4 linked regions of the Oreochromis niloticus genome follow. The protein of the gene in region 2 interacts with the protein of the main gene of each other region in a pairwise test. Links are inferred from orthologs where the notes say so. Each region holds a gene or a part of one and is shown on either strand. Other genes may lie near its edges. The genes, in order: ccdc120b, mid2, leng1 and top3b.

Region 1 (8,203 bases), on a different chromosome or scaffold from region 2:
ACACGATGGCTCTTGGCTCTTAAACAGATTCACTCTCTCTCTACTGTCAGCTTTCATGTGGCCCAAGAGTCCTGGGAACAGGAAACACTATTATTGAGAATTTATAATACACATATTCAAGACTTAAAACTGCATGTCTTAATACGGTGCGGCAGGAGCTTTTGCAGCACCACCATATGCTGCACAGCAGGTTTATTGGTCTCTTTCAACAGGCAGCTGTGGTATAAAGGAGCAGCTGAAACCTCACCTCCAGCTAGCTATGGGCAGGTGAGGCCAGCGGCCCTCATGTTGACCGCTGGTGTTGACACAGCTGCTGCTGTTGTCAACTTACACATGTGAACCAGAGGAGGGTTACGACTACACAGCTCCTGTTAGGCTAGCATGAGGATCCCACGCTGGTTCCTGAGAAGTTAATAGGCAGCAGACAGTTAAAAACTACAGTTTGCACCACTGTCTGTGTCAGTTGTTACAAAGTAGTACCTCACTGCTTTCACTGGTGTACCAGGACAGCATTTCTCCATGTCTAAAGCCATACTGATCTAATCTATAGGAGAACAGTAATGCAACTCCCAAACATTGACTATCAGACCCCAAGGACACTGTAGAGCCATTGGTGAGATTTGCTGGTGAGGATGGGAGTAGAAATGTAAGAAGGAGGAAGATGTAATTTATGATTCAACGAACAAGAGATTGGACAAGGTCAGACATACGGCTGATTCAGAGCTGCCTCCACCTGGGCAACCCCTACAACTGTGGATGGAGGGCTTATGCAGGGGTCAGGTGACCCTCCAACCAACCCCGCGCACCAATGTGATCTCTTCGTTTTGCTCTCTATATCCATGAAATACTGATTTATAATGCACTTATCAGCACAAGGCAGGGCAGCTTAGCCAAGGCTGACCAATCGTATAGCTCGTCCTCTCTCCCTCCCCGGGCCTTGATGCTCACCTTTCTACATTTGACACAACTACCACAGGCAAAACAAAGCAAAGCCCAGTGACTGCTATCCACCTGGATTCCGCTAAGCTGAGGTTGGAGGAGAGGAGGGTGGAGTAATAAAGAAAGGAATGTGACTCTAATGTCCGAGGGGATTATTGCTATACATTTTTCCTTTGCTCTGTAACACCTGGAGGGATTTCTGTATGTCCAAAGCTGTTTTTATGCTCTGTGGCTTGCTGTAATCCACTTTGCTGATTCTGGAAAGAGTTCAGTGCTTTTGTTTCGCTCAGACTTATGAAGTGCAGCCACAGCAGCCACGCCATTACATTCAATATTTACACACAAAAGGACCTTGATCTGATTGTTTTGTGTTTTGAAGAAAAGTAGGTGAATATGCTCCCCCATCTGTAGTACTACAGTCGCTTGATCAGACTTTATTCCCTGGTTCTAGCAACAAGATACTTTAGATGAAGCTAAATGTTTCTCATTGCAACTCTATGTCTTTGTGCTAGTAAGAAGTAGTGAAATGACTAGAATCAGATCAAGCAGCCAGTGTTTCTTTTCACACTGTACTTTACCTGCATGTTTTGTCATTCACCAACTACAGAACCACATGTTCAAATTTGTGTCAGCCCATGTCTTAAGGGGATCATTTAAAAGGAAGGAAAAAAATAGTGTAACCTTGATGCAACCAGTTAAAAAATGTAAGTATTAAAAAAATGCAACTGTGACAAAGCTATCTGGGTCAAAGTCCACTTCCATGGAATGTGACTGAACTGTACTGAAACACAAAGGCCAAAGGGAGTGCTTTGTACTGTACGGGTGAACAGAAACACTAACATGACTGGTTTCATCCTAATCCCTGTGATCAAGAGGAAACTGAGCATGAGAATGGTCTCCCAGCACACCAACCCCTTTGCTTGTAAATGTCCTGGTGTTCCCTGCACTAACAACTGTAAATAAAATAGGAGCAATGAGCATAAGGCTTCAAAGGAAAACCCTCTAGTAAAAAACAGAGGTGTTTCCCAGAAACGCGAAAAGGTGGAGTACAGTGACTCACTGTAAAAGGCACCAACACATTTTTACGAGCCCACCCCACCAAAAGGGATCCTGGCGGACAGGCTCGCTCAGGGATCTGTTAATAATAGGAGCTTAACGCTGCTGCATGTGACCGAGCAGTATTAATAAATGAGAGGAGAGAAGCAATAAGGCCCAGGAGACGGCAGTAACAAGATGTTCGGGTCTGTTTTTTTGCTTCATAACAATGCAGCAACAGGGGAGAAGTTATGCATTCCCGGGAAGCTTGGCACACATTTTCACTCCTTTAAAAATTGAATTTGAGACGTTCTTGCAGTTCTGCCACCCCCTGCCTCCTGACGAGCGTGCCACACAAACGACCCGTTGCACTGTTTTCTGGCACAACGCGTACACAAACGCGAGGCTCTCACTTGATGCGGTCCTCGCATTCATCGTACGGACATGTGATTTGGCTCAACATAAAGCACGCGTTCGCACATCCAGTCTGCGCTGATCCCCGCATCTGCATAGCCGTTGCAGACGGCGGCGCACCGGCTGATAATGAAACGCACCGGACTCATTATGGAAGCGATAACACATCGCAGGTGTGTCACAGCCCGCCACGATGACAAACGTCTTTTCACACGAGCTAAATGCGTGAACAGATGCGAGGACGTCTTGCGGACTCGCGTTTAGGCCGATGCATTTCATTTTATAGAGAAAATATATCATTTTTAAAAGCCGTACTGGTAGCTATTAATTAATACGCCCATTTAGGATGGAAAAGGACATCTTGGAGCAGAATCCCCTCTTACCAGAGAGCATGACTGATGCCTTGCGAGGTCTCCATGGTTCTCTGGAGCGAAAGCAGGGGGAGGAAAATCATTCCTGCTTGTTTTTATTGGCAAAATGTGCGGAGATCCACGGAAAAGAGCTGCCCGTTCATGATGCTTCACTATCCCAATTGTAATTCACCAGCAGCCTCGCGACCTCCGCTGCGTCGGAGCTCTGCGCATCTCAACAGACCTGCTTTCTGCACGGCATGAAAACGCTCTCTTTCACACAGCCAGCTGACTCCACCACGACCACAGCGACGATGCCCCTCCCCAGATGGTACATGCCTTCAATGTGCGCCACTCGATCCGCTAATACGAATATGACCCAGGTGTTGCACAGTAGCGTGGATTCATGTGCAGCAAGGTAACCCTCCCCAAACCCCCAAGAGACTTTTTCCAGATTTAAAAACTGATACGTTCAACTCAAAAAACTAAAATAGTCGTTTTAGTTTTACTGCTTTCTATGTCAGAGTTAAATTGGACCGCACCATACAAAATTATAGCAGCCCAACATGGCTTTTTAATGGGAAGTTAATTGCGTTCTTCCATCCTTAATTCAATAACTTCAATAGTAATAAACGTGTATTGGTATATGTATATTGGTGTAAAAAAACGCATTCAAATTCATTTAAAGTGCTGACTTTTTAATGTTTCGGATTGGATTAATATTGGACTAATTTCAGGGCTTCAAATGTTTTAAGAAAATTCACTGTAAGTATTAAGAAGTGTATCCGATACAGAAACGGCTTTATACAAATTAAAATATTTTTTAACACATCACCAAATAACGGGAGAAAAAAGTGGCTCCACACAAAAAAGGACTTTTTAAAGAGGGCAAGTTAAACACCTGTTACCAACCGACTGAAGCACACATTTCACTCTCTGAAGACAAAGTTAAAGGCGAGAGATTCTCAAACAACAGCTGCACTAAAGCCCTGGCAACACATCATAGAGGAGAAACTGAAAGTTGTGGTTAAAGGGCCAGTTTTACGTCAGAAAGTTCCTAAGTACAGCACTTTGATTCCTCCTTGATTATGTTGTTCAGTACAGGACAAGCTGGAGCATCTTTTTTTGAAAAGAGAATTCATAGCAAAGCTTTTGACCGCTCATGAGAACGATCAACAAAACCGACAAAGTGATAACTGCTTGTTAAAGGCACAGCTGAACTCTGAACATCACACTGTTGCAGTCAAGTCTGCTTCTTGTCAAATGTATATCAACTCTCTCTAGAGTCTGATTTATATTAACTGATCAAAGTATGTTTAAGACTTGCTTAGCTTTATAGGCTATATGTTTTCTTTAGGCTGTGTGTTCCACTGACTCAACCATAAACTCAATAATTAGCAGACAGCAACCACATAAATTGATGTTACTGCATATAAAGTTTAAGTCAATTAATTCTACTCAGTTGATGATTTGGACACATTTGATCAATTGTAAAATAATACAAAATATTCTAACATTATCACCAAACATTACATACTCAAAGACAAAAATGACCAGAAATGAGGAAAACCAGTGTCAGTTCTTCAAATATGTTTTAATTCAAAGACTAAATAACAATATTTTTTAAAGGAATAACCCACTGTTCCCAAATATTTCAACATATGCACAATTACTTGAGGAAAACAACATTTAAAAAAAAAATCACATCAAGAATGCATAAAATTTCACATTGTTAAAACTTGCAGGAGGTTGTTTGTAATGGGGGGTAAAAACTGAATTATTATACACTTAAAAAACAAAAACAAAACACATTATATGGCTGAAAATACAATTAAAGGCCAAGTGTTATACTACTCGAGAACAGAGACAGAAGAAGACTCATTAAGTGCTTATTATTATTTCAGATATTATTATTTCAGAGTCATCTGTACGATGATTGTTGCTACATCATCACTTTGACAAGAGCATGTTGTTCTAAAAACAATAAAAACCTCGAAAAACCGAAACTAAACCTTTAAGGAAAGTTTACTGTTCTCAGCTAACATGGTGCCAGTCACAACAACTGTAATCCTGTCGCTGGGTTTTAGCTTGAGATTTGTGAGGAATGTTTAACTACATTCATCTTCATCTGTTTTTTTTGTTTTGTTTGAGATCTTAAAAGGTGTTACAATGTTTTTAGTGTCAAGTCTAAATACCGGGTCATTGAATAAAGTTTTCAGTAGATATAGTGTGAAATATTCTCACTAGACATCAAATTGGGCTAAAATTGAGAGAAATTACAAGTACAACAACCCCAACATAGGATTACACAAAGGTACCTTTTTTTAAGTGTTACTTATACTTACTTTGCATAACCATCCACACTGTCTCTTTATTTGGGGAATATTCAATTAAATATTTGACCAGTAATGTCACTGTATGTTCTGGAAAATCACTACTATCTCAGATGTCTTGGATATTTTTTAAAACAGTGGCTTGCTCCTACTTATAGCTTGTGGGTTCTGCTCAAATGACTTTAGACTGTCATAGTAATGGGGTGAATACAAATTTAGCATAATATCCATACTAGGTCAGTTTGTGATGATATATTTCCCACTTTTCAGATATTTCTGATGCAATATGATAACAAAAACTCACCCTATGAAAGCAAAAAAGGAGGGTAGGTTAGGTTTACAAAAAAGCTGACCTACCCAACAGCTGTTTAAAAAAAAAAAGTTTTGAGATTAAAGTTAGTTATTTATGAGAACAAACCTCAAAAGGTAATTGTACTTTTTTTCCTGTCATGGGACAACTTCAATGCATTTTTAAAGGTCGTATGAAATTCATCACACCACACATGCTGATGCTAGGAGCACATTCTGCCTTCAGTGGGAGAGCTAATCAAATGATAGTCTACTTTGCAATCAGATTAAGATATTTAAAAAATGCTTGTAATTTCAGCCCAGAATCAACATGTCATCATTACAATCCAGTATGAATGGTCATGAATTTGAAATAATCACATAATTCAATTTAAATAACTAGTTCTAATAGAAAGGTACCTTTGGCAGCTCCCTTATTTCCCAAGTGGTCACCACATCAGATGGATCAACACATCTGATTTGCCACCGGGTACCCTTTCTAATTCCCTCACATTTTTCCAGCCTTAGTATCATCACTGGGAGCAAATGCAAAAATGCAAATAAATGGAGTGCTAATAAATGGAGTGTTAGTGACAACAGTGATGACACTAATGAATATATTATTAAATTAAAAAAGAAAGCAGTTGAGGTGCACACTTGTTTTTACCAAAACAAATCTTCTATTAACTTTGTTGTATATAGTATGAACGAACCCGGTAGCATGACAACAGTGTTAATGCTGGGAATCAAACACGTGGGCTAATTTTCTAGTAGTACAGTTGTCTGAAAGGGCTACTAAAATGTGTAATAGTGGTAAGGAGGGTGAGGGATATTCCTCAAGTAAGAGTGTGAATCAACCAACAGCACACTAACCACACAGAGGGCTGACTTCAGCACACTGCCAAAGCCAAGACACATAACAGTCAAGTAGAAAAGCCCTACACCTACATAATAAAACGTCTGAGAAGAAACACGCCTGGATTATAATGTCACAACTCCTGAAATGCCTTTGGTGATTCTTAAAATAAACCATTTACAGTCCAGAGGTAAGTCTGTAAAGTTTTGATATACATCATCACCAAAAAATAAAATAAAATTGCACAAAGTGTCACTAGAAAACCAGTGGTCTCCACTCTGCTCACATTTATTTTCCATTTCTGTCTGTGATGACGTTAAAGTTGAAGTGCTCTGCAGTTATTACAAATGCCCACATTCTTCTTAACCAGGAAATCACATGTTGATGACCGTTCCAGTATGATGGGGTCTTTATAATGTAATGGTTCTTTGGGAGGCATCCCCCTGGCACACAGAGTACTTCTCCAGACCCAAAAAGCAAATTAACCACCTCAGTCACCGAGGTTAGACGTGCTGGGTAGCAGTCGTACAGCGGGTGGGTGGGGAGCAGCGGTTGCTTTTGGACGGTGACCTGATAGAAGAAGCCCGGGTCGATTAGCACCATGGTGTCGGTCATGCTGGACTGCTTAGAACACTGGATGAGCTGCAGCTGCGGGCCCTCCACCATTATAGCATACCACAATATGGGCAGTACAGAGGAGCGTAAAGAGTCTAGTAGTTTCATGAGGTGGTTTTCTGCATCTGCACCAGTCCCAACTGGGTTATCAGCCAAACTGAAGATCTGTGTAATCTGCAGACAACAAACGAATAAAAATACATACGCATATGATTGCCTGTGGGGGGCGGGGGTAGCCTCAGCAGGACACTTACCATGGGCAACTCATCTTTCTCTTCTTCAACAACTTGCTTTGTAGCTTCTCTGCCACTTTGTGCTCTCTCTGCATCCCATCTGTTTTGCTGCTCCTGTATTGACAAAGTTGGTCTCATGAGAGTGACGCCTTAGTCTTTAACTCACTGCAAAATTATAAATATTAAACTACACCCAGCCCACACCTGCACATCAAATTGTGTCAGAGTCCAACAACACAGTTTATTATTAATAAACTGAAACCATCTGTGGACAGAAATGAATCCTTTGCAGAAGTCTGCAGCTACAGGAAACCTCTGACGCTGCTAATGGAGATTATGTGAGGTATCGGGTAGCAGCCTCTGGGGAGCCCACAAAGAAACTCCGCACATTGTAGTTCCTCAAGTTGCTATTTGAGGCTGGCTCATAAAACAAGCGAGATCCCACAGAATCTCATGTTAAAACACCCAAATGTTAAAGTCTGGTTAAATAATTAAATAAATAACACCCCCCCCCCAAAAAAAACCCCTCTATATCTAATTTTAGCTTTCATTACAACTGTATGTGGGTGAATTTTACATAATTTAACATTATTAAACTGTTACTTTGTACTACTTAGCAGCTAGCTGTGTCTGTTGTACACATCCATACAGTTCATACACCATGCCAGCACATCTTGCGGGGGCTAACTACAATTCAGCACTCTAACTTTTTGTCCAAATATGCTCACTTATGGCTAAAAGAAATTTAAAAAATAAATAAGAACAAACAAAGATATTGATGGTTGTGAAGCTAAATTTAAGAATTCAATTTGCTAAAAACTATTTGGTGCCATCTTTTATTTACAGTCTATTGTTTTAAAGGGGTTTTTTTAGCCTGTGTATTGAATTATTAAACACTGTGGTATATAAAGATGGTAAATGGTAAAATGGCCTGTATTTATATAGCGCTTTAATAGTCCCTAAGGACCCCAAAGCGCTTTACATATCCAGTCATCCACCCATTCACACACACATTCACAGACTGGTGATGGTGAGGGGTCTGACAGAATGCTTTTGCCATTATGTAATCTGTAACTTCCACATAGTATGCTGATCAGTGTAATTTTCAATGATTAAACTGTAATGGAGACGAGCAAACAT
Region 2 (8,368 bases):
AGCATAACAAGCTGGATAAAGAAATCTTTAGTTGGGAGCTGAGTTCATAGTGTTTGTGTTAACACATTGTGTAACATACAATCCTATTAATATTTTAAATGAAAATGTACACATATAAAATACTGGCTCACTGGCAATCTGTGGATTTTATAGGCTCTTTAAAGGTTTTTATAACCATAAACAAAGACAGTCTTTGAAACTTTATCCGTGGTTTCTTTTTTCATAGTCTCTGGTTTTCCACTACATATCCAAGCACAGTTATTTCAAGTGTTATCACACGGCTACAATACCTTGACCTTCTGTTCATTATTCTATCTTATTATGGACAAAATATGTATTTTTATTTCATTAATTTTTAAGCATGGTGAATTTCTTATTTGAATAATGTATTTAAACACATTTTATCAGATTTTTATCAGACAGTTAGAGATGCACTGATGACCAAAGCTTTTGTCTTTTTCATTTCTTTTTATTTTCTTCTGCTAATCTACAGAGTAGCACAGCTGAGACATAACGGCTCAAGCAGACCTTGCAGAGTAAAAGCTCAGCCTGCAACCACCTGCAAGCTGACGTCTTGCTGTTTAGACCCTCATAATCCACTATGATTGCAGGATTTTATTTGTGGCTGCGCTGCAGTGTGAGAGAACCGAGGGGTCAGTGAGCTGAAAGACAGCAGCTGGCAGCTACTTACATTTATATGGATCCTTAAAATCCCAGACAGTTGCACAGCAAAACAGCCAAATCCTCAGAGCTCCTCAACAAAAGAAATGTTTTGTAAACTTTAAGTACATGCACTACTGCAGAGCAAAGATTTAGTCACTGGCATAGTTACATAATAAGCATTATGCAGTCCTTGGAAGTTCTTGTTGCTTTCTTCTCAGGGCATGCAGTACTGATTAGAAATGATAAATAATGTAGTTCATTTTGTTTTATTTTCAGCTAGTATTTAAAAAAAACTTAAAGCTATTAATTACAACTTCCCACATTTAAAAAAAATCATAGAAACATAATTATTTTTTGTAATACTCTTTGTTATCTTGTAACTAACAAAAGCTGTCTTTGAGTAGAGACTTTCATATGATTTGATTTCTTATGGTTGATTTTAGAGGTACAATACATAAAAAATATGAATATACAATATAGAAAATCAATACAGTCATCTCAGAGCCACTATTCTGTGACAACAAAGGTGCAGCCCCGATAAAATCTCGCCACTGGAGTTTCGTGTAGTTCAACATATAATCCAAAGAGAAGATAGCACTGACTGATTAAGATTTTTTTATCCGTGCACCTTTAAGCCTAGACCTCTAGCCATATTATCATTTCTGCTTCCACTTCCTTGTACATGGCTTGTGATGTCCTTGCCACCAGCATCATGTAGACACCTGTAGATTTGGTGCTCACAGGTCTATAGGCTTCTACATGATTAGTGAATATGTATCCTCTTAGTAGATCACCATGCAGGGTGGTTGTTGATGATCCCTGTGCTGTAGCAGTGTCCCCCGATGGCAGATTGCATACATCAGTTGCTTGTCTATGTGACACTTCTACTAAAACACCATCTTTACCTGCGAGGCACTACTTATTCCTCTCACATTTGACACAATGCAAACTAGACACCTGCAATGACTCACTATCACCTCTTGAGATATGACGGTATAACAAGACAGGACAGAGCCAAGGTTATCCTGTTAGTATGCTCACTTCAATAGATATCCCTGCAACACAACACACAGAAGCCTTTGACGTGATGTCAGAAGGGTTTCAAATTATGATGATTACATTGTTTATTTTTATGGAACATTTAAACATGGAAATCTTACTTGTTTTACCATTAAACCCATGTGTACTCCAGAAAAATTTAAAAGTGGGTCATTTGTTAGTGCCAAAACTTAATTAAGTATCCCATAGTGTCCCATCTGTACCCAGCCTCATTAATTATTACTTTTCCCCAGCCTCGGTTATCCCTTTTCAGTTAACTATTCATAAGCCCTGTAATGATTAACAATATGTTTTGGGTTAATCTCTTTGTAAGGGAAGAGATTTTTTTTAGAGCTAATGCAAAATTCTTCAGCTGAGTGTGTTATTAAATACTTTTATTGACCTCCACAGTTCAGAATTACTGAGGTCTGATGTTGTATTGACAGAATTTTTCTTTTTCATTTCAAACTGTGAAGCTCTAACGAAGGCCCAGACTCACCAACGAATCTCTCTACCTTTTTGTTGTATATTTTAGTATTTCTTTCTAACTCCTGAGGAAAATGATCAACAAAATCTCAGTGTTCATCAAATAAAAGCAGACCGTTTCAGTTCATGTAGCACTTATTGCTGAAGCTAATTTGTTGACCTTGTTATTTGCTTGGCTTTTAAGAAATTATAATGCAAACATACAAAAAAAGTATAAAAAACATAAAACAAAAGCACAGCAAGCAGTGAAATGACAGAAAATACTAAACCTGGAAACATACCAAGAGTGAATGAAAATGGATGGATGGATGGATGGATGGATGGATGGATGGATGGATGGATGATGGATGGATGACATTTTAGTGCATCTGCTGCTCAGTCATTGGTTGGTCTTTTCTCACATACTGTACTTACACACAGACATACTTAGCAAAGCTTCCCTGTCTAAATGTGCCATGTGTATTCTATCCATGGACATTAAACAGTGTTTTTCTCTTTTAACTTTGCAGAATTGGTTCTGTGTTCCTTTGACCAGTGATGGTAGTGTCGCACAGTCTGCCTCTGATCTTCATGCACATTTCAAACAAAAACGAAACAAAAAACAAAAAATGTCCACTTATAAAAGGATTAATCCAGAATGCTAACCATGACCACAAACCCCACAAGGTGGCTTTAAAGGCTGTTTTTTGTGCTCACAGGTGTAGGTTCATAAGTTCCAATGCACCCATTGTTAGTATCACAAAAGACATGCTGGCTCTGAACATATCAATGGAGGATTTGGGGCATTGTCAGTTTGGTTTTTATGTAGGATGAGATGAGTGTCCTTGCAAGAGAAATTGACAGACATCCTTCACTTTTAAATCCTGCCTTTTGTGACAATACAAAATGAGCCAACCACTGCAGTGTAAAGTGTAAGTTCTAATAAGACTGTTTTTGGGGCTGTGGGATGTTGGAACAGGAAAATAGCAAACTTATTTGTTTGAGCCAGATGACATTCGTCATAAAAGACCAAAGTGAAATGTGAAAGTTTGCCATTTCACACAAGCTATTCCTCATTTCGAGAAGGTTAAACTGATAAACGTACTTCTTTGACAGGTTTACTCATGTGGAAAATGTGTCACTTTGCAGACTGGGTGACACTGAAAGATAATAAAAAATTTATTTCTTGAAAAATAAAATCTATTTTATATGTGTGTGTAACAACTATGTTAAAGTCATCTATCACTGTGTACTAATACACCTTATACTTTCAGCTGGAATCTGTCTGTACAGCAATAGCATGTTCAGAAGCGAACAAACAGTCTTACAGGCCTGCATGCCAGCACAGATATCCACCTGCGAGCTTTGATATTCAGTCCAATGGACCAGCTGAGACCTGGAGTTACAGTTTATCAACCTAATCCATAAGCATATGTGTAAGGTGTGAGGGGTCCTGTGCACCCCTTTGCTTTTAAAACCTGTCTTACAACCACTCAGCAGACTGAGAGGGCCAGTGCTGGTTTTGCTTTTCGTGGGTGGAAGGTACAGAGAAACAAGGACTACCTATCAGTTTTCTCCTTAGGATGAAGTTGTCCTTCTCGTCTCTATTGAATACCGAGCTTGTCACAGAGGAACTAATTAACATGGCAACTTGTACGGCCGTGCAGTTCTTCCACCATTCAGTCTGTATCCCATTTGCATTTGAGAGCTGTTTGAAGGCAGTAATTCAGCAGAAAAATCCTTGTTTCTCTTCAGAACACCCACATTAGCTCACCTACAGAATTGGAAGCTCCTTTCAACTTCAGGCTCATGATGTACACATTTTAACGCTAGCACATTTTCTAGCTTTCTAAATGTTTATTTAGCTAAAAAAAAAAAAAAAAAAAAAACCCTCATCACTGAATCCCCATGCAAACATCATACTCTTCTGTCAGCTTCAAACATCTAACTAAAGCCTATGACTATCAAAATTTAATAATTCTTACAGTTATTACAGTTTGAGGACCAAAAGCTGAGAATTCATTTGCAATAAAAACCTCTGAAAATCAGTGTTATTAAAGCATGAGACTTAGAAATGAAAGATTTTATTTAAATTAAACACACACAAAAAAAATAGAATTCAGAAGAAGAAAAAAACAATCTACAAACTGGTGACAAAGGAATAACCCCTCGACCTTTATACCGAGAGGAATCGTTGGCTCTGGTGTGTTATAGAGCATTTTCTGGGTCCACGTGACCCCTAAGATTGAAGAATATATATATAAATCATGACAAATGATGGGAGTGGCGCCCACTAGGATGACAGTGCCCCCATCCATAAGACATGAGCGGTCGATAAATGGTGTGGTATAAAAATAATATGGAAATGTAAAATATGGCTGTTATCACCGCCTCTCAAACCAATTAACGCTAATGATGACTCTAACAACTCTTACACTTGGTTGTAAAAGTTGTTAAACTCTGATTGGTGCCTGGGAGTAGTGACATCATTACTGACTTAGATTACAAATTATGTATATGTCTGTATGAAAAGAAGGAAAACAGTCTGGATTGTGGAATAACCCCAAAGAGTTATCCTGACAAAATTATTGTTAATATCATTTTACACTGATTAATGGTACAACCTACATATGTGATTCTAATTTGTTCATTTTTATTAAGCAACATTTAAATATTTTTTATCTTAATAAATATAATTTATCTACACACATTTGAGTTACCATCTATAAGAAAACTTTCATATAATTATATCTGCTGTGGGAAATAAAGAATTGCCACCGCGATGTCAGCTAAACAGCAATTTAATGTCTTAATAACGGGCCAAGGAGACAGGTGTATTATATTAACAGATCCAAATTGCTAAGGTGAAGACAAATGACAGCGACACCGTGAGGTCACAGGGGATGGGAAAATGGTAGGAGGAGGAGTATGGGTGCGCACAGCTCGGGTTCTTTGAACGGGCACTAAAGCAGCGGTGTAACCGATCCCAGCTGCTACTGTGTGGGGAATTGAGAGCTATTCCCGTCCCCCGTACGTTGATCACGTGTCCTTAGGGGACGTTTGCTTTGGGGATCACTTTGGGAGGTAAAGGCAGCGCACCGGTGCGCGTATCCAATTTGGAGAGAAACATCCTTAATAATCGTAATGATCCACCGGAGGATCAACCGGATCACTTTTGTTTCGGGGCGTTGTCATACACCCTGTACAGTGGCTTGCTTTACACAGATCAGTAAGGAACTGGCACTCTTTGTGTGATCCGTGACTCACTGACTTGTCAAAACTTCTGCGCTTACGAGCCGCGATCTTTACTGCGAGCATCACATTGCTGCCATCTCCTGCAACGAGTCGACGTACGGAGCTGTCACTGCGAGCCGAGGTAGGCTGTGCTTCCTTTATGTGTGTTTTTTTTGGCGGAATAGCGAGAGTAACATGCACAAGAGGGCACACACTGGCTAGGAGCATGAGTTAGTTTGTGGAAGGCACACGCTGTGCAGTATTGTGGGTTCCAGGGTTGCAACAGTGTAATGATCCATGTCAAACGATACAGTAAGTGTATGACGAGCTCTTATCTGTGTACAGAAACATGCAGCATGAAGACGTGTGTAAATGTGTGCCTAATATTCTGCTTCGAAAAAGACGGTGAGAAAAAACAAAAACAAATGCGCTCTGGTACGTCTGTGGTGGGTCAGGGACTTAATACATGTGTTTAATGTTCACAGTGGCCTGCAAATTTATTCTCAAAAGTTTTTAAGAGTGCTAAAATTTCTGCACTCCTGTTGATGATGTTGCTGTTGAATATTCTGAATGAACTCTTACTTTTGGAGTGGATTATTTTAAAGACTGGTGAACATGCTTTAGCCTTTATGAACTCATCAGTTTAGCCATTGTGTACCACAACACCAGCCACAACATTAAAACCACTACTACAGCTGAAGCGTATGACACTCATCATCCAACTACAATGATGTGCTCTCCTGGGAAATCTTGGTTTCTGGCATTTATGTGGATGTTATTTTTGATATGTACCCACCTAAACATTGGAAAACAAGACATGTTTCATGACAATGGCGCTCCCAGATGGCAACAGCCTCCCCCAGTGGAACACTTGCACCCCACCACACCACAAAAACTGTTCAGGAACGATTCTAGGAATGCGACAGAGAGCTCGAGGTTTTGACCCGGCCTCCAAACTGCCAGATCCCAGTACAATAAAGCATTTACAGGATGCCCAGAACAAGCCTGCTTCTCTGAGACTCCACTCTGAAACCAGCAGGAGGCAAATGATCCACTTCTAATGTCCTGGTGCTTTTTCCACACATGCCCATGTCTCAATCAGTTGCAGCTGTTTTAGCAGCACAAGGGGGACTTGCACCACACTGGGCAGGTGGTTTTAAGTTTAAGGATGACTGATGTAGGAAAACAGGGACTAACCTGAGCTGACTCCCAGCCACGCCCTGCTGCTGTCAACCAAAGCAGCAGGAAGAGAGGCATTTTCTCATTTCCCCCCCAGAGAGATTAAAAGGAGATTTTTCAGAATACATATAAAAGTAGATTTTCTGAACAATCGCAGGAACACCAGTTGTCAAGTCTTAAATGCGTTTTAATTTTATGTAATGAAAATTCCATGTTATTAAATAAAAATGCCAAACTAGTCCAGTAGAAGGCACAAACCAATGTAGTCACCACAAACCTGCTAATAAATGTAATATGAATCCTGCAGAGTCCCTGTTGTGATATTAGATTGTCAGCCTGGTTATTGTGGAGACAGTGCTGCAGGTGACTGTAGAGGGACTCTGGCTTTGCCTTCAGAAAAGTGTAAAATGTCAGCTCCTTATCAATAATGCAGCACACCAAAAACAGTGGGGAGTAAGAAAATGGAACCCACTGTTAGAGACGGTTACCTAGTGCTTCATCATTATTCACATAATTGAATAACAAATACTTTATCAAAATCCACTTGGAGTAATTACCAGCAATGCAAATATTTCCATTCTAATCCTAATACACAACCAAAACAAACCCGTATGATGAGCTGTAATGTGCCATATCTTGTCATGCTGATCACCAGTGAAACAAATTTAATGTCTATTACAATTTTTTTTAAAAACGGTGGTTCACCATCTTATAAAAATGATTTATTTCCCTGCTCTCTTACTGCCTGTCTTGTTAATGCATGATCACTGTGGTTAATGAGACAGGTCTCAGTGCATGGGGACTGACAGTTTCAGAAACTGCACTGCTAGTTGGGTGAATACAACTGACACCCTCATTCATCATGCATCCACGGGGTGCTGCTTGCTCTCCTAGTCTATCCACGCTGCGCTTCTCTCCCCTTGTCTTAGTCGAGTCTCGAGTTGCACCCTCAGATGATAATTATTAAGACATTATACTGATGACAATAGCAGAGTTTTTTTTTCTGTAAAAGAGACAGGGAGTCAGCTTCTACGTGCTGGGATGATTATAACTGTGAAAGAGGGTTGGCGTTCGTTGTCGAGGTTGCAGCTGCAACGATTTCCAAGAATAGATGTAAATGCCAACTGTACAGTAGTGTACCTGTTTGACTCTGTTACTGGCAGCCAGTAGCTAATTGCGGACTAGCCAGAAAATCAAAAGCTGACTTGTCAAATATCGTTTTTTTTAAGAATCTGTGATATTACATTAGATAAATGAATATCAAGACGTTTTTTCCCCACACTTTTCTAACTAAATAAATGAAAACAAGTCTACATTCTTTTATGCTGTGCTTCATCAGTGGTTAAAATATGTTACCTGACCTGAAGCAATAATATAAAAGTACAATTATGAAAGCATTATTAATCTCGCTAATCCCGATGGCATGCCATGGTGCAATTTTAAAATGTAAGAGATGTAATTAACCCACATTTACCATAATTACTGAAGCCTTGACTAAACTTTGTAAGCTTGCATATTGCAGTATCTCTTAGATTTACTGTATTAAACTTTGATGCTCGGGAAAATCGAATGAAAATAGCGGATACGTGAATCCCAGTTTTGTGCACTTGTCTGCTGCAGCAGCTACAGCCCTTGAATGTTACTGTTCACAATCACTGTTTGCATAGGGAGGTTCTCTGTACATGTAAATCAGCTTATCCCCATAGAGCAATTAGGCAGAAAGGATATACAGCATGGGGATGTTTTTACTGAAGTCTGTCTGTCAACACACTGATGCCTGAATGGGTCT
Region 3 (7,995 bases), on a different chromosome or scaffold from region 2:
TGCAACCACAGACCATGCAGGACACTGAACCCAGATGTGGTACCAAACTAGCAAAATCTTTGCTATCATTCAGCTGCTATGTCAGAGCAAAAGAAAAGCGTGAAAGAGAAGACTGACAGAAGCAGCAGCACGGACACCTTTTCTTCTTTCTTTTCTCTGAGATACTCCTCATTCCCCTTCTTCTCCGAGGACTCCTCCAGGGGGAAAAGATTGAGATGCTCCAGAGCTCCACTTCCTCCACCCTGTTCCTCATCACCATCATCTCTGCTTCCTCCTGTTGACTGAAGAGCAGCTCGGGCTTTCCTTCTCAGATACTCTGTACGTGCCTGTAAACAAACAACAATTAAAGGACATTCATGGGCACAGCAAAGCTTATTTAACCTTCATAAGAATAAACTAAGCTCAAATCATAAATACTTAAGTTTTCTACTGGTGCCAATTTAGAGACGTACAGCACATTTACAGCAGTCTGAATAGTAACACATAGGAAATGTTAGCATTGATTTCCAGGTGTGTGGGGTTTTTTTTTAAATATTAACAAAAGACATCATACAACAGTAAATGTGTTGTTTTTTACAATTGTAAAGGATAGGCGTGCACTGAAAAAACACTGAGTAATTCAAAGATCTGAAATTATGTGAAATTATACCATCAGAACTGCAATTTGAACAGCTCTTGCACATTAGTAATGCAGTATTTCACACAAATAAACCTGTTCAGTGATTAAATATTTACACAGTGTCGAGTACACAGTGTGACTTTCAAGGATGATTGCAACCAAAAACACCATTTACAGTCATTTTAGTGCCACATGTGAGCTTTATGCTTTATGTATCGGTGAGGAAGTTTATAGATGTACTAGATTGGGGCTGTATGATATCACAATACAACACACTCACGAATTTTTACTCTGCAATACTGATAAACACTATCTCAAGGTTTATTCTGTGGGCATCTTTCCATGGTATTTTTGAAGTCCTGTAATAAATGTTCTCATCAAGAAGGTTAGAAATTGTAATGTTTATCAAACCAATCTTAAGTTGCTTTGAATACAGCTTTGGTTTGAAGTGATTTTGTTCTGGATTCTAGTGAGAGATCTATTAGGGATGCAGTGACTGCAAAACTCTGGACCAAAACTGATGTTTATAATAACAACTTGTTTTGTTTTTTTGTAATTAGTATATTACATATTTTTACCATTAACTATCCACCTTTTTTTGCAGGTGAAATAAAGAAAAGATCACTACACTGTTTGAACATTAAGTCAGCACAAAAGTTAGCTGACACATCAGAGTAACAATGCTAATCAGCAGTCAACAAGGACAGTATCTGATGCTCATATACTCTACCTATCATAATGCATAAGTGGTTGCTAATATTTAGTCTGCTTTCACTCTGTTGTTTCATAAAAACAGGGTGTTTCCTGTATCAGTGTGGGCCTTTTAAGGGGTTCTGGACATCTGGGTTACGTTACGTATCAAAGTTCTATATGTTTTCCAATACATCTTGTCTATTTGATCAACAAAAATGTATTTTAAGCTTTAGTAAGTTAAATGAAATGGTTAAAAATATTTTTTAGTCACAGTGGATGACAAAAAACCTTCACTGATGGGCTCAAAGCTTCTTTAAATACAGTAAAACCCTAATAATCTCTGCAATGCAATACATAAGTGTAGCAAAGAACAATCTGTTCTCGCATGATAACATTTTATTCCGGCCCGCTACATTTTACACCCTGTGATACTGAGCTACTTCAATGTCATCTCACGTTTCCTGTCCTTTACTTTACTTTACTTTACTTTACTTTAATGTACAGTACTGACATTACTTTTTGGGGTAACTTTTCTGTAATACATTTGATTTAAAAAAAAAAGTCTGCCTTTTTAATATATTTATTTTTGCATCCCGCTATAAAAAAGCTTTAATATTCTAGATATTTATTTATTGTATAAAATGTAAATTAAAAAGAGAATGCATTAATTTGTATTATGAAATTCTTAATCACAACTGAAAACATAACCAATGTTTTAAGTGATTTTGTTGGCAGCAACAAATCTCAAAAAGTTGGGACAGTGGTAACAAAAGGCTGGAAAAGTAAGCTTAACTAAAAGGAAACAGCTAGAGGAATATTTTGCAGTAATTTTTGCAAAATTAACTGCCAACCGCTCAGTAACATTATTGGGTATGCAAAAACTGTGTCTACAAGTTGTGTACCAATTTCAGCATAAAGCTATTCAATGTAAAATTACAAAGACTTTGAATACCAATACTAGATGCCTGTGATTTTTGGCATCACAGGCAGCAGTGCAGTAAAAACGCTGCCTTCTCTGGGCCAAAGCCTATTCAAAATGGACTGACGCACAGTAGAAAACTGTTTCTCAAGGTACAACTTGTGCATTAGTGCCTATGGAACTGGAAGCTTGCACATCTGGAAAGGTACCATCAGTGCTTCAAGGTACATTTAGGTTTAGGTTTACTTGACTTAAAAAGCTACACTTTACACAGTATTCTAACTTTTTTGTAACTAGGGTTGGACTAAGAGCGTCTCAGGTAGGCTCTACTGAAAAAGGACATTTACTGCACACTGTTATTATAAATGAGTACGTTTTTTTAAGTTGTTCAAGTTAGTAACCTTGCTTCTGATCATATCTGGTTTAAATTTGAGGTATCCTGCTCAGACTACAAGGGGAAACAGAGCACCAGGTAGGGTACAGTAACAGCACGCCACGGTCATCCATCCGGAGTCACCTCTTGCTCCGCGCGCTCCACGCGACGCTTGGCCTCGCGCTCCTCCTCTGCTGCCTGGGCCTCGTCCCTCCGCACTCGAGCGACGTTGTCTTTGTTGCGGACATGCCAGCTCTTCTTCGGAAGGATGTTCATTGTTCCCTTGGCGACTGTTACTACTGTAGGTTAGCAGTCGGCTAGCAGCGGCAAAAGTGGAAGGAAAACGTGAATAAGTTCCCCAAAGTAAAACCGCTAGTTGTGGAACTAAGTGCGTCAATGTCCCAAAGCGGAAACGTATATAAATATACAAAAACAAACTTTATATTTGCAGCTTTGACCTCCCGAGAGGCAGAGCTAACGAGCTAATGTTAGCCGATGTTTTCTACTTTCCACCTCTACTTTACCTTAAGGACTCAGCACCACGCAGAGATATCACATTTCCACAAATTTAGCAATGTTTTTAACATTTTACTTTCTAAAACAGGGCCCAGGCGTTGTCACCAACTTGCTGAGTGAAGAATTTCTCTTGTTGGACAGGTAGCAGGAGCTCATAGGAACAGGCAGACCCAAACAGGAAGTAAACAGTAGCTCCATGTTGAAGCAATAACACAATGGCGACAGCAGAGGGGGCTGTTATGTTTCTCATTTTATTTTATTATGTAAAGAAAAAAATATCTGCTTTGAAGGACAGACATAAAAGGCACTAATCTATTTACATAGTGGAAATGCTATACTCTAATAACGATCAAGTTTTAATTCTCCTTCTTTATGTATTCCTTTAAAAAAAAATCACAACTTTTAATACAATTATCTTCGTGCAGACGTGTGTGGTAAAACCTAGCCTGCATTAAATTATAAACATAAAAACAAGTCTTATTATGTTGTTTTCAAGACAGTAAATCCTTGCCCATATGTCGTGTTCAGTCTTGTACTCCTGCATGATGTGTCGGTATGTGAGCTTGCCGACTCGGGCTCTCAGTCTGCTTGATCAGGAACTGTTTGCTCTCCTGTAAACCAAGTCCATGTGAGAATCAGGAAACCATTTAACTTACTGTTTAAAAGTGAAGCCTAATGACTAGTGGTGCAACGGATCACGGTTGATCTGAAATCCGAACCGATCCCACGCCACGGTTCGGCACGCACGTGATCCGAAGATTCGAAAAAGAAAAAAATAAATATGTGTATGGTGCGCGTGGTCAGTCTGTCAAGCGGTAGTTATGGCCAGCGCTAGCGGTCCAAGTGGCGGAGCAGAGGAGTTTGCGGCATTTAAGCAGCCCTTTGCTGCCCAATCCGACCGGGCTAAAGCTATTGCAAAAGCTACTGGGGTGTTTAGCTGCAGACGGGAGGCCGTATTCCGTTGTGCAAAACAAGGGGTTTAAACTGTGATGAACGTGCTTGAGCCACGCTATGATATCCCGTTGCGCGTCCACTTCAGTGACAAGATCGTTCCAAGCATGTATGAGCAGGAGAAGTTTAAAGTTATGGCTGAACTGTCTCAGGGATCTTCTGTTGCTCTAACTACAAATGGGTGGACCTCCAGGGCAACGGAAAGTCACGTGACCGTGACCGCTCGTTATATCACAGCGGAGTGGTAGTACACTAGATTAGATGAAACTTTATTTATCCCTCGGGTCGGTTCCTCCGGGAAATTCAGTTTCCAGTTGCACAGCACCGACAGAAGTTGCAGAATGTGAGCAGAAATATACCATATATACACACATATAAATACAAAGACATATATAAATACAGAGAATACAAAAGGGATAAATAGAATAAATAGGAATAAGAATACAAGGGAACGGCACATTTCAAGTATCGTGAGTCTATTACACCGTTGGATATTAACAAAAACTGTTGCTCCCCTCCAGCCAGGAGTTAGACAGTTTGATGGCGTGTGGGACAAAGGACTTTTTAAATCTGCTGGTCATTGACTCTGGGAGAAGCAACCTCTCACTGAACAGACTCCTCTGGTTGTTTATGGCCGTGTGCAGAGGATGCAGAGGATGCTCAGCATGGTCCATAATGTCCATATTGCACCTTAAGTTGTTTTTATATAAGTGCGTGGAATGAGTCTTCAGCTGAATGTTTTTTAATAGGCAAAAAATACTTAAATAAGTAAATGGCGAGTCGAATTTTTGTCTTTTTTTTTTTTTTTTCTATTTTTGCTGATCCGAAAATTGATCCGATCCGTGACTTAAAACCGTGATTGTCATGAACCGAAGTTCAGTGCACAAGCTGAACCCAGAAGCAGAGCCAACACACACGCAGGAGTACGAGAAAATAAACTTTATTCTAACTAAAGGTGTCCCGGGAGGGTTAAGGAAAACACACGTGAAACTAGAGAAACCAAGGCACCGGGAGAAGAGTCGCGCAGGAACGCCGAAAACGGGACTGAGGGAGGCTGCAACAGAAAAAGAGAAGAATTACTGGGATGCGGGGAAAAGCGGCACACGTGAGGGAGAGTTTGAGTCTTACAGTCAAAGCGGGGCCGTGAGAGCCGGAGGGAGGGGTGAAGGTCCGCGGGGAGCTCCAGGGAAGGCAAAGTGAGGGATACTGAAGGTGATCAAAAAACTCCAGGCGGGCAGGTGGACAGGCAGGTGGCTCAAAAACACGCCGAGCAGTTATCTGAGTGCACAGGGAGAAATCAGCGCTCATGCAGACAAATGAGGGTTTTCACAATCGCTTCCCTGTAGGCATACGTTACCGCTGTGAGACGATTACGGACTGGCGTGGAGCAGCAGGCTGGGCTGGATCAAGTAGTCCACCTGATAATCGCCTGGGATGAGATGCAGGTGTAGAGTTAACAGCCACGCCCGTGGGCGTGAGCATCGCATCAGCTCCTCGGACGCCGGGCCGCGGACCATGACAGTACCCCCCCTCAAGGGTCGCCCCCAGGCGGCCGGCCGGACTGCTGCCTGCGGAGAGAAGCATGGAAGGCAGAGATGAGACGGGGATCCAGAATGAAGGAGCGCGGGACCCAGAGGCGGTCCTCGGGCCGTACCCCTCCCAGTCCACGAGATACTGCCAACCCCGTCCGCGCCGGCGCGCATCCAGGATCCGTCGGACCGCATAGGCAGGATGGCCGCCGACGAGCCGTGCGGGAGGAGGGGGCTCGGGAGGCGGGCACAGAGGACTGCGGCGGACCGGTTTAATCTGAGAGACATGGAACGTGGGATGCACCCGCCAAGAGGCCGGAAGTCGGAGCCTGACTGCCACCGGGTTGATGACTCGGTCCACCTCGTACGGTCCAATAAAGCGGGGTGCCAGTTTTCGAGACGAGCCCCGAAGCGGGATGTTTCCAGCTGCCAACCAGACCTTTTGTCCCGGACGATATTCAGGGGCCGGGGCACGGCGGCGATCGGCATAGTGCGCGTGCCGTTCCTTCGCGCGCAGGAGGGCCCGGCGCACGCTGCGCCACACCCGTTGACAGCGCCGGAGGTGATGTGGAGCTGACGGGACGGAGAGGGCTAGTTCCTCTTCTGGAAAGAGCGGAGGCTGATAACCGAGGGACGCTTCGAATGGGGATAACCCGGTGGAGGACGAGGTGAGAGTGTTATGGGCGTACTCCACCCAAGGCAGGTAAGTGGCCCAAGAGGAGGGATTTTGACTGGCTACACACCTTAGCATAGTCTCCAGCTCCTGGTTTAGACGTTCGGTCTGTCCGTTGGACTGCGGGTGGAAACCGGAGCTCAGATTGACCCTAGCGCCTAGAATGGAGCAGAAGGTCTTCCACACTTGTGAGGAGAACTGGGGCCCCCGATCGGAGACGATTTCAAGGGGGATTCCGTGGAGTCTGAAAACATCAGTGATTAATGTTTGGGCTGTCTCCGCGGCCGAAGGCAGCTTTGTCAGCGGGATGAAATGAGCGGCCTTAGAAAATCTATCCACAACGGTGAGGACTACACATTTCCCGGAGGAGGTAGGGAGACCGGTAACAAAGTCTAGGGAGATGTGAGACCATGGCCGGTGGGGTGTAGTGAGCGGGTGGAGCTGACCTACGGGGTGCTTGGTGGAAGATTTATTACGAGCGCAGACGGCACAAGCAGACACGTAAGCTCTCACGTCCCTTATTAGTGACTTCCACCAGAAGTGTCTTCTGAGGAGGTGTATCGTTCTACTCACGCCTGGGTGGCACGTGAATCGTGCGGTATGGATCCAGTGGATGACCGCCCCACGGGCGGCAGCGGGAACGAAGCGCCGCCCAAGTGGACCGGTACCTGGATCAGGGTCCTCCGGGAGAGCTCGGCGAATGGTCTCCTCGATTTCCCAGGTGAGAGTGCCCACCACGCAGGCGGCGGGTAGGACGGTGGCGGGAGAGAACGCTTCATCGTCGGAGGTATATAGACGGGAGAGCGCATCGGGCTTGATGTTCCGTGACCCTGGACGATAGGAGAGAGTGAAGTTAAAGCGAGCGAAGAACAGAGACCAGCGGGCTTGGCGTGGATTTAATCTCTTGGCAGTTCTCAGGTACGTTAGATTCTTATGATCTGTCCATATGAGGAAGGGCTGTTTAGCCCCCTCCAGCCAGTGGCGCCATTCTTCTAAGGCGAGTTTAATAGCCAAGAGTTCCCTGTCGCCGATGTCGTAGTTCTTCTCCGTGGGGGTGAGTCGGCGCGAGAAGTAGGCGCACGGCCGGAGTTTGTTTTGAGGCCCGGATCGCTGGGAGAGAACTGCTCCAACTCCAGCATCAGACGCGTCAACCTCAACGATAAACTGTTTAGAGGAGTCGGGATGGGTTAGAATAGGTGCGGATGTGAATAAGTGCTTTAACTTAACGAAGGCCGCGTGGGCCTCTGGAGACCAGGTGAAAGGTACCTTAGATGAGGTGAGCTGGGTGAGAGGCGTGGCCACTTGGCTGTAATTCCGGATGAAGCGGCGATAAAAGTTCGCAAACCCGAGAAAGCTTTGGAGCTTCTTCCGTGACTCCGGGACCGGCCACTCTAGGACCGCCTTGACCTTCACTGGGTCGGTCTTCACCTGCCCACCTGCTAGGACGTAGCCCAAGAAGGAAATGGATGCAGTGTGGAACTCACACTTCTCTGCCTTGACATACAGTCTGTTCTCGAGCAGCCGCTGTAGTACGCTCCTCACATGGACGTGATGCTCCTCAAGCGTTTTGGAAAAAACCAGGATATCATCCAGATACACAAAAACAAACACGTTCAGGAAATCCCGTAACACGTCATTGACCAGGGCTTGGAAAACCGCCGGGGCGTTAGTTAAACCAAACGGCATCACTAAATATTCAAAGTGCCCTAATGGAGTATTGAA
Region 4 (7,847 bases), on a different chromosome or scaffold from region 2:
ATTGTATTAATCAAATATTTTAATTTTTACAATAAAAAATATTTTTTTTTAACTCCACACTTTTCACAAGCCAATGAGCCATTAAACTCTGAGCCATGAGCTGAAGGTTGTTAGGTTGGACAGTAATTGATATTAATAATAATGTCTACACCACCATAACATCTGTTTTCAGCAGCACAAAAACTTGCCTCCTATTCCAAGAAGACAGACTAAAGGTAAATTTTTTATGCCTTAGTTTCAATTGTATATCTTATTTTATTTGACTTTGACCTTTGTCTGTACTTGAGATTATTTATGTATTTTTGCATTTAAGATAATGCTTTCTTAAAAAAAAAAAAAAAAAATAAGATTTCAATTTAGAGATGTTGTTGTACAGTTAAACCTTTAAACACTGCAATGGAATGGAAACCAATGAGTAGTTCATTCTTAAAGAACTGTGTTTTTCTTCTCTTTTGAATATTTATTAATGCTCATTAATAACAAACCAAAGTTATTCTTATCTGATTCATTGATGGAATAATCGATAGATTACTCTATTACTAAAATATCCAATAGCTGCAGCCCTATAAATTAGATCTTTAAACTCAATCCACTTAAACAATAAAGCTTACTGGCTCACAGAAAAAAGCTGATTAATGACAAAAGAAAAATTAGCATCAGAAAATTTCTGAATGAATAATGAAGTCTGCTATTCCTTAAATCACTAGAAGAGTGGAATTACGTATTTTAAATGTCTAAACTCAAGAATAACAAATGAAAAAAACAAATATTTGCAGAACAGCTGTGGTATGCGTATGCCTGTGAGTCTGAGTTACTGATGCTCAATGGGGAAACAAAGACATTAGACAATGTTAAAAAACTTAACACCTTCCTACTCTTCCAGGGATGCTGATGCTATTTTCTGAAGAACTGATTGGCCAGTAGGTGGTGATTTCTAATCTGGAATTTAACCTGCTCCAGAGCAGGTTAAGTTCACAGTAGGGGTGCAACAATACTCGTGTTGGTATTGAACCGTTCGATACAGTGCTTTCGGTTCGGTACGCATATGTATCGAACAATACAAAATTTTTAATTTATTTTATCAACTTTTCTTCTGACGATGCTGTCTGTATTGAGAGCTCAGTGGATCTGCGTTCGACTACTCCGCCTAGGCTGCACTGTTGAGCGGAGATCCACTGAGCGCATTGCAAGCTAGCGAGACAGAAGTTAAGCTCGTTGCAACATGGCAACTGCCTCAACGCTACCCGAAATTGAACCACCCCCACCCTCTTTCAGATCTGGCGTTTGGAACTATTTTGGTTTCCATGTGAAGCATGACCCTGATGGTAAGCGCGTCATGGACAAAAGTAAAACAGTATGTCGGATGTGCCACGCAATGCTCAATTACATTGGTGGGAACTAGTGCGTTAGCACAGTTAGCTCGTTAACGTGTTGATGCCGTCCAGCCCCACACACGGGGCAATCCGCAGTAACTCGTTAACGGAGATTTGCGGCGTTATGGCATTAATGTCATTTTAACGAGATTAACGCTGACAGCACTAGTGAGAACACAACGAATATGACTGCACATTTACGCCGACATCATCCTAGTGCAAAGACAAGTGGAAGCAGACAAAAACAACAAGCACGCATGCTACAAACTTTACCCGAGTCATTTAGACAGCCGTTAGCACGTGATTCTCCTTATGGGGACCTGATATGTTTAATATGCTGCTGAGAATGTACCCCAGAAGAAGCGTATAGTATAGCTTTTATTTTGGAAAGAGCCATTTCTCTGTAATAAACTCTCTTTTCCAAAGATGAGTGATTTCTGGATCAGATAGATTTTTTTTTATTATTATTATTTTGTTGTTTCAGCAACATTACATTTAAAAACTATACTTTTGAGTTAAAATATATATTTATAATTTTAATAAATGACAAATTAAAAAGGCATGAACATTTTTTTGTATCGAAAAAATATCGAACCGTGACACCAAAGTATCGAACCGAACCGAACCGTGAATTTTGTGTATCGTTGCACCCCTAGTTCACAGCATAAGTTACCATGGTGAATTACCTCAGTAAGAAGTGAACCACCTTCATAGTACAGAAAATCCAGATAAGCCTAAATCCAGATTCATAGGCCTACTCTTTATCTCTCACCAGGGAAAACATTGACTTGAACCGGGTGCCTCAGGTCATCCATGAGGCCAGCTGCCACACCGGCCACTCCTGCAGGGGACTTGAGAGTGAATTTGGTTTAGAGACCATCCCTGTATCCCTGAGGATGCCAGTCCTCAAGAAGAACCCCAGCTGCTTCCCCTCAGCCAGCTACTCTCTGGAGTTTGAGCTCATCACTGTGGCATGTATATGTGCCATCTCCAGACACAGCTGAACACAAGAGAGCATGCTATGGTCAACTTAGGCCACTGGAGAACTTCACCAACATCCACTGTTTAGACAAATTATAGTCTTCACATCGGTATTACTGAGAAATAGCCCATTTCACTCATTGTGCTTGTTTTCCAGAAGACACTAAAAAGGTTATCACTTATTACACACCTGTTAACAGCTCATTAAAGCAATCTGAGACACTTTACATTATACGGTGTCAATTCTGTGCCCATGTGTAGTGTTTTGACAGTTATCACAACACTTTCCTGTTTAATTCAAGATCCAGTACAAGAGTGTCTAAAAACCAGTACTGCTTTAACTATTGTACATAATATGTCATTTAGCAGTACAGGCAAACACAGGAAACAAACTAACAAGTCCAACCCTGGGATCATCATTTGGATCATTCTAATTAAGACTAGAAGCCCAGCTAGGCTTATATATGCTGACTGCCCAGATCGAAGAAATCTTAATTTTCTAATAAAAACAAACAAACAAACAAACAACAAACCAAAACAAAAACCAATCAACCGCCAAAAGGTCAGCTGATCAAAGCTATTCAATTTCATTTCGGCTCCACCATACTTTCACTGCGTACTGATCGACACAGCTTTTACTCTGTACCCACCTTTAGAAAGGATTTTGGCAATGGCCTGAGCCAAGGACGGCTTCTCCGCTACCATCAGCACACTTCTCATGATGAGCAGGTTCCCTCAGCTGTCGCTTCCTGTCCCAATTTTATCAAAAGGAGACACTGACCTGTGCTCCGCTTCTCACCGGTTAATAGGCTATGTGAGAAACTACTACAGTGGCCATGGCGCCTTCTACGATACGAGATCTACTTCCGGTGCACGTCATGGCCTTTTCTTCTCCTTCTTCTTCTCCTTCTTCTTCTTCTTCTTTTAAGTAGCGGTTGGCAAACAACTGCATGGTGCATTACCGCCACCACTGGCATGGAGTGTGGACAGGAATCACGCTCAAAAAAAAAAAAACCTACTTCATATACTTCCAAACAATCTTCCTTCTCTCAAAAACTGAGACAAAGCCTGATCACATTTATTCCCCGACTCCTTTTGCAATAACTTAATAAGATCCAATTTCATGTTAATGTTACTGAGACTTTGGACCAGTTGTCTCCTCTCTACCTTATACTTCTGACACTGCAAAATAACATGCTCCAAAGTTTCCTCCTCTCCACATTTCCCTGAAATATGTTTCCCTATCAAGAACAGTGTAGAATTCAATCCTGTATGTCCAAATTTCAGTCTTGACACCACCACCTCCTCTCGCCTACTCTTTCCTGTGGCACTCCTTACTCCCACCCCCTTTGAATTTTATATAACCACCTTCCCCTCCTTTCTTCTTCCCACTGTTTCTGCCATCTACCCCTCATTTCCACCAGACCAAAACTCACCGCCAGATCAATTAGTGGTTTCCTTTGCTAACCTATCTGCTGCTTCATTCCCCCTTACGCCATAGTGAGCCGGGACCCATACAAACACTACTGACAGACCCATCATATGTATTCTGAAAAGAGTTTGCTGAATCTCTATTAAAAATATCTGATCTACCTTCCGAATGACCACTCTGTAGACTGACCAAGACTGCTCTTGAATCTGAACAAATAATTGCTTTCAATGGCCTCAACTCTTCCACCCTGTGAACCGCTAATAGAATTGCTATGATTTCTCCTGTAAACACAGACAATCTGTTACGTCCCCACATGAAAGCTAGGCGAAGAGGGTGGGGGACAATAACAGTTGGATCCGGGTTGAAATGAAAAGGACGCCAGGCAGAGGTGTTTAACACAAAATAAATCTTTATTATAATTAATTAACCCAATAATCATATAAACAGTAACAACAGAAAGAGACAGCAACGCTGCTTTGATGATAAATTAGACAGGCCAACCCAAAGAGATGGTGACCGCTTCAACTAAGAAAACAACTATAAGGATTTAACAGAAAAAGACAGCAACACTGCTATTAGCAATGAACCCGACAGGCCAAACCAAGAAATGGAGGGAGAGAACAACACCACGCCCACACACTCACAGGATGTAACACAATCCATCATTAATCCTCTTAATTTCTACCATAAAGTCCAGAATTACTACTGCTACCCCCACTTGACTAGCTGGATTCTTTGAAGCATCCGTATATACTTGAACATACCCAAAATACTGTTCAATGTAACCCTGAACTGAATTTGAGTCTAGACCGCCTGCCCTATCCTTACTCTTCTGGTGCAATAATGCAAAATCCACAGCTGCTTCAGGAAGTATCCATGGAGGGATTGCACGCCACGGCACTCGCTGACATATGTCAAACTGATCCAATTTAAGTTCTCTAGCTCTTCCCCCCACCACCCATCCAAAGCTCTTTAATTCCCTCCTGCCTTTCTCCCAGCAAGGTTTAAGTACTTTTAGTGTATGGTGATCCTTCCCCTGACCCTGTAAGTTTGCCCAATAAGTCAATCTAAGCTGTCCCCTCCTCAACCCTAGTGGCATTTCCCCCATCTCCACCTGCAAGGCTACAGTAGGAGTTGTTTTAAATGCCCCTGTACAAAGTCTCAACACCTGATACTGAATAAAATCTAACTTCCCAAGAGTAGTGTCTGCTGCCGAATTATATGCCACACAACCATAATCTAACACTGACCTCACCAACCCAGTGTATATGGCCCTCAAGGATTCTATATCCGCTCCCCAATCCTTCCCAAACAAACACCTCAAAATATTCAAAACTTTTTTACACTTACCCACCAATTCCTGAATGCGTGCACCCCAGGTTACCTTCTCACAAATCCAGAAATTTAAACTTCCTCACTCTTTCTAATTCTACGCCATCTAGCTTCAGCTTAACTTCCTCACTAACCCTTTTCTTTGTAAAAAAAACAAACAAAAAAACAGTCTTAGTCTTATCAACTGAAAATTTGAATCCCCACTTATACGACCATTATTCAACTTTACCAACTGCTTCCTGCAACTTCTTTACAATAAAACCTACATTCCTCCCTCTTCTCCATAAGGCTCCGTCATCAGCAAAACGTGAACATCCCACCCCACCCTCTATGTCATTAAACAAATCATTAATCATTAGAGAAAATACCAAAGGACTCACTATGCTCCCCTGAGGAGTCCTGTTCTCTACAGAAAATCTCTCTGAATAATTCTTTCCAATTCTCACTTGTATTTGCCTACCCTTTTAAAAATCCAAAATCCACCTATACATCCACCCCTAATACCCAATTTACGGATTTTAATCAACAAACCTTCTTTCCACATCATATCATAAGCTTTCTCTATATTGAAAAACACTGCCACCACACACTCTTTATTTATTTGAGCCCTCCTAATTTCATGCTCCAAACACAATACTGGATCCATAGTACTTCTCCCTCTTTTAAATCCACTTTGATATTTAGATATAAACCCTCTACTTTCTACATAATATATTAATCTCTCATTTGTCATTCTCTCCATAACTTTACAAATATGTGATGTTAAAGCTATCACTCTATAATTACCTGGCTTGGTACCATTCCTCCCTGGCTTACGTACACTGAAAAAAACGGACTGGCCATCTCTTGGACTTATGTAAGCATCTTGCGTGTATTTAACACAATTGCCTCGTGCTTTAAAGTTAAGTGTAATTATATAGTGTAGAAACTACATGATATGCAGAGAGGGTATATTAAATTGTTCATATCACGTTCAAGTGAAGTAAGTCAATAATATAGCAATGTTAAATCTCGTGACACCGCACGTGATTTCGTCTCGCGCATTTTGGATCGTGGTTTGAGGAAGGCATCCATCTCAGTCAAGTCGAGCCACCGCCTCTACTTTTTTCGGTATACCGAAAAAAAGGAAATTGGGTGGTTGTTACATTTACAAAAGTCTAACTTGTAATTTGATCAAAATAATTTCATGTTTCTATGGTGAACGTAATTAAATTATGTAGGATCTGTATGAAATTCAACAACTTAATGTGTTCTCGTTGAGATGACATGATACAATCTAGTAAGAGTGCTTAGCTGGTGGACTTATGAAATTCACATGATCACATGAGATTTCAAACTGCAGGAAAATCATTGGAGTTATAAGAGGCAGACAACTACACACACACCACGTGTATGCTATCGCTATTTATTGTGGTTTAACCTGTCAAGGACAAAAACGTACAAAAAATTCTGCATCAGGCATCCAAATCATTGGGTTTGTGGCGTGGTGGTTAGTGCCGTTGCCTCACAGCAAGAAGGTCCTAGGCTCAAATCTGCAATCTGGCTAGTTTGCAGTGGTTTCTCTCTGGGTATTCTGGTTTAATTGATTTAACTCCGTTGTTTAAGTTTCTGCCAAAGCAAAACATCTGTGTGCAACCAATGTCCACTATTGAATTAAATAAATCTAACATGCTCTTTTTTCAGTGTATAGGCACCACCACAGCCTCTTTCCAACTTTGTGGCAGCTTCCCACCTTCCCAAACCCTATTATACAACTCCACTAACTGCTCTTTTGCTGACTCACTAAGATGGTTTATCACAATGTAGCACACCCGATCTTTCCCTGGCTCTGATAACTTATATTTCCGGAGCACTCAATGTAACTCTGACTTAGTAAAAGGCATATTCACCAGATCATCCATATCCTCCACCATATCCAATAAGTCTCTATTCTCTGTAATTGTCACACAACCTCCTCCATTACCATCCTTCCTATCCCTCCAAACCCCAACATATCCTTTGATAACAAAATCCAAATTGGGCTTCAGCCATGGCTCCTGTACACAGATTATATCTGGTTTCTTTTTGCATTTTTCAATAAATCCTTTAAACTCTTGACCGTTTGCAATCAAACTTCTAGCATTCCACTGTAAAATAATCATATTGTCCTCTCCCCTGATCCTTCCACTGTCCCTTCCCCTCTAAGTCTTTTATTAATGTTCTCCCACGATATGTCTTTAATACCAAAGAACCTCTCTGCCCCTTTCACTATTATTTTGATTTTCTCTGTCTTATGTTTCACTTCATCTGAACAATTTATGACAAATGCAATGAACAATTGCATTTGTGTGAAGAACTCTGTGTAGCTGTTAAACGCCACTGTGTCCATGCCAGCTGTACACCTGCTGACCTCTGACCCCTCAGGGCATGCTGGGAAATCCCTGCCTGAGCTGCTCAGGTGACAGTGGGTGAACCGCAGCGCGATCAGGCTCTGGCTCTCCGACGTCAAGTCCCTGCAGCTCGCGTCCAGGTACTCCAGAGCTCGCGCCCAACACTCTCCGTACCGGGACAGAGCCGCGAGGGTGCGCACGCGCCGCAGCTCCATCCTGCCGCGCTCAGAATCCGGAGCCGAGGAGGAGAAGGAGTGTCCGGGACCGGCGGAGTGTCCGAGCAGAATTGAACCGCTCAGCAGCAGCAGCAGCAACTTCTCTACTGTCAGACCTGGGTGAGTTCCATGCACTTGTACAACT

What was found.
Region 1: the proteins of mid2 (region 2) and ccdc120b interact in binary tests that used the Homo sapiens proteins (3 or more experiments, as listed by UniProt). The link is inferred for Oreochromis niloticus from reciprocal best matches to the Homo sapiens genes MID2 and CCDC120.
Region 3: the proteins of mid2 (region 2) and leng1 interact in binary tests that used the Homo sapiens proteins (3 or more experiments, as listed by UniProt). The two-hybrid records come from large-scale screens. The link is inferred for Oreochromis niloticus from reciprocal best matches to the Homo sapiens genes MID2 and LENG1.
Region 4: the proteins of mid2 (region 2) and top3b interact in binary tests that used the Homo sapiens proteins (3 or more experiments, as listed by UniProt). The two-hybrid records come from large-scale screens. The link is inferred for Oreochromis niloticus from reciprocal best matches to the Homo sapiens genes MID2 and TOP3B.

Annotation. Positions count from the first base shown.
Region 1 is NC_031970.2:31,353,527-31,361,729, reverse strand, and holds the start of ccdc120b (coiled-coil domain-containing protein 120), read right to left. Parts: upstream 3,295-8,203; 5' UTR 2,772-3,294; intron 1-2,771. UniProt on the Homo sapiens protein: Centriolar protein required for centriole subdistal appendage assembly and microtubule anchoring in interphase cells. Together with CCDC68, cooperate with subdistal appendage components ODF2, NIN and CEP170 for hierarchical subdistal appendage assembly.
Region 2 is NC_031966.2:21,470,305-21,478,672, reverse strand, and holds the start of mid2 (probable E3 ubiquitin-protein ligase MID2), read left to right. Parts: upstream 1-5,078; 5' UTR 5,079-5,542; intron 5,543-8,368. UniProt on the Homo sapiens protein: E3 ubiquitin ligase that plays a role in microtubule stabilization. Mediates the 'Lys-48'-linked polyubiquitination of LRRK2 to drive its localization to microtubules and its proteasomal degradation in neurons.
Region 3 is NC_031976.2:22,042,061-22,050,055, forward strand, and holds the start of leng1 (leukocyte receptor cluster member 1), read right to left. Parts: upstream 3,347-7,995; 5' UTR 3,230-3,346; exon of another isoform or gene 3,129-3,229; intron 2,922-3,128; 5' UTR 2,881-2,921; coding exon 2,749-2,880; intron 327-2,748; coding exon 138-326; intron 1-137.
Region 4 is NC_031977.2:3,672,816-3,680,662, reverse strand, and holds the start of top3b (DNA topoisomerase 3-beta-1), read right to left. Parts: upstream 3,260-7,847; 5' UTR 3,075-3,259; coding exon 3,005-3,074; intron 1-3,004. UniProt on the Homo sapiens protein: Releases the supercoiling and torsional tension of DNA introduced during the DNA replication and transcription by transiently cleaving and rejoining one strand of the DNA duplex.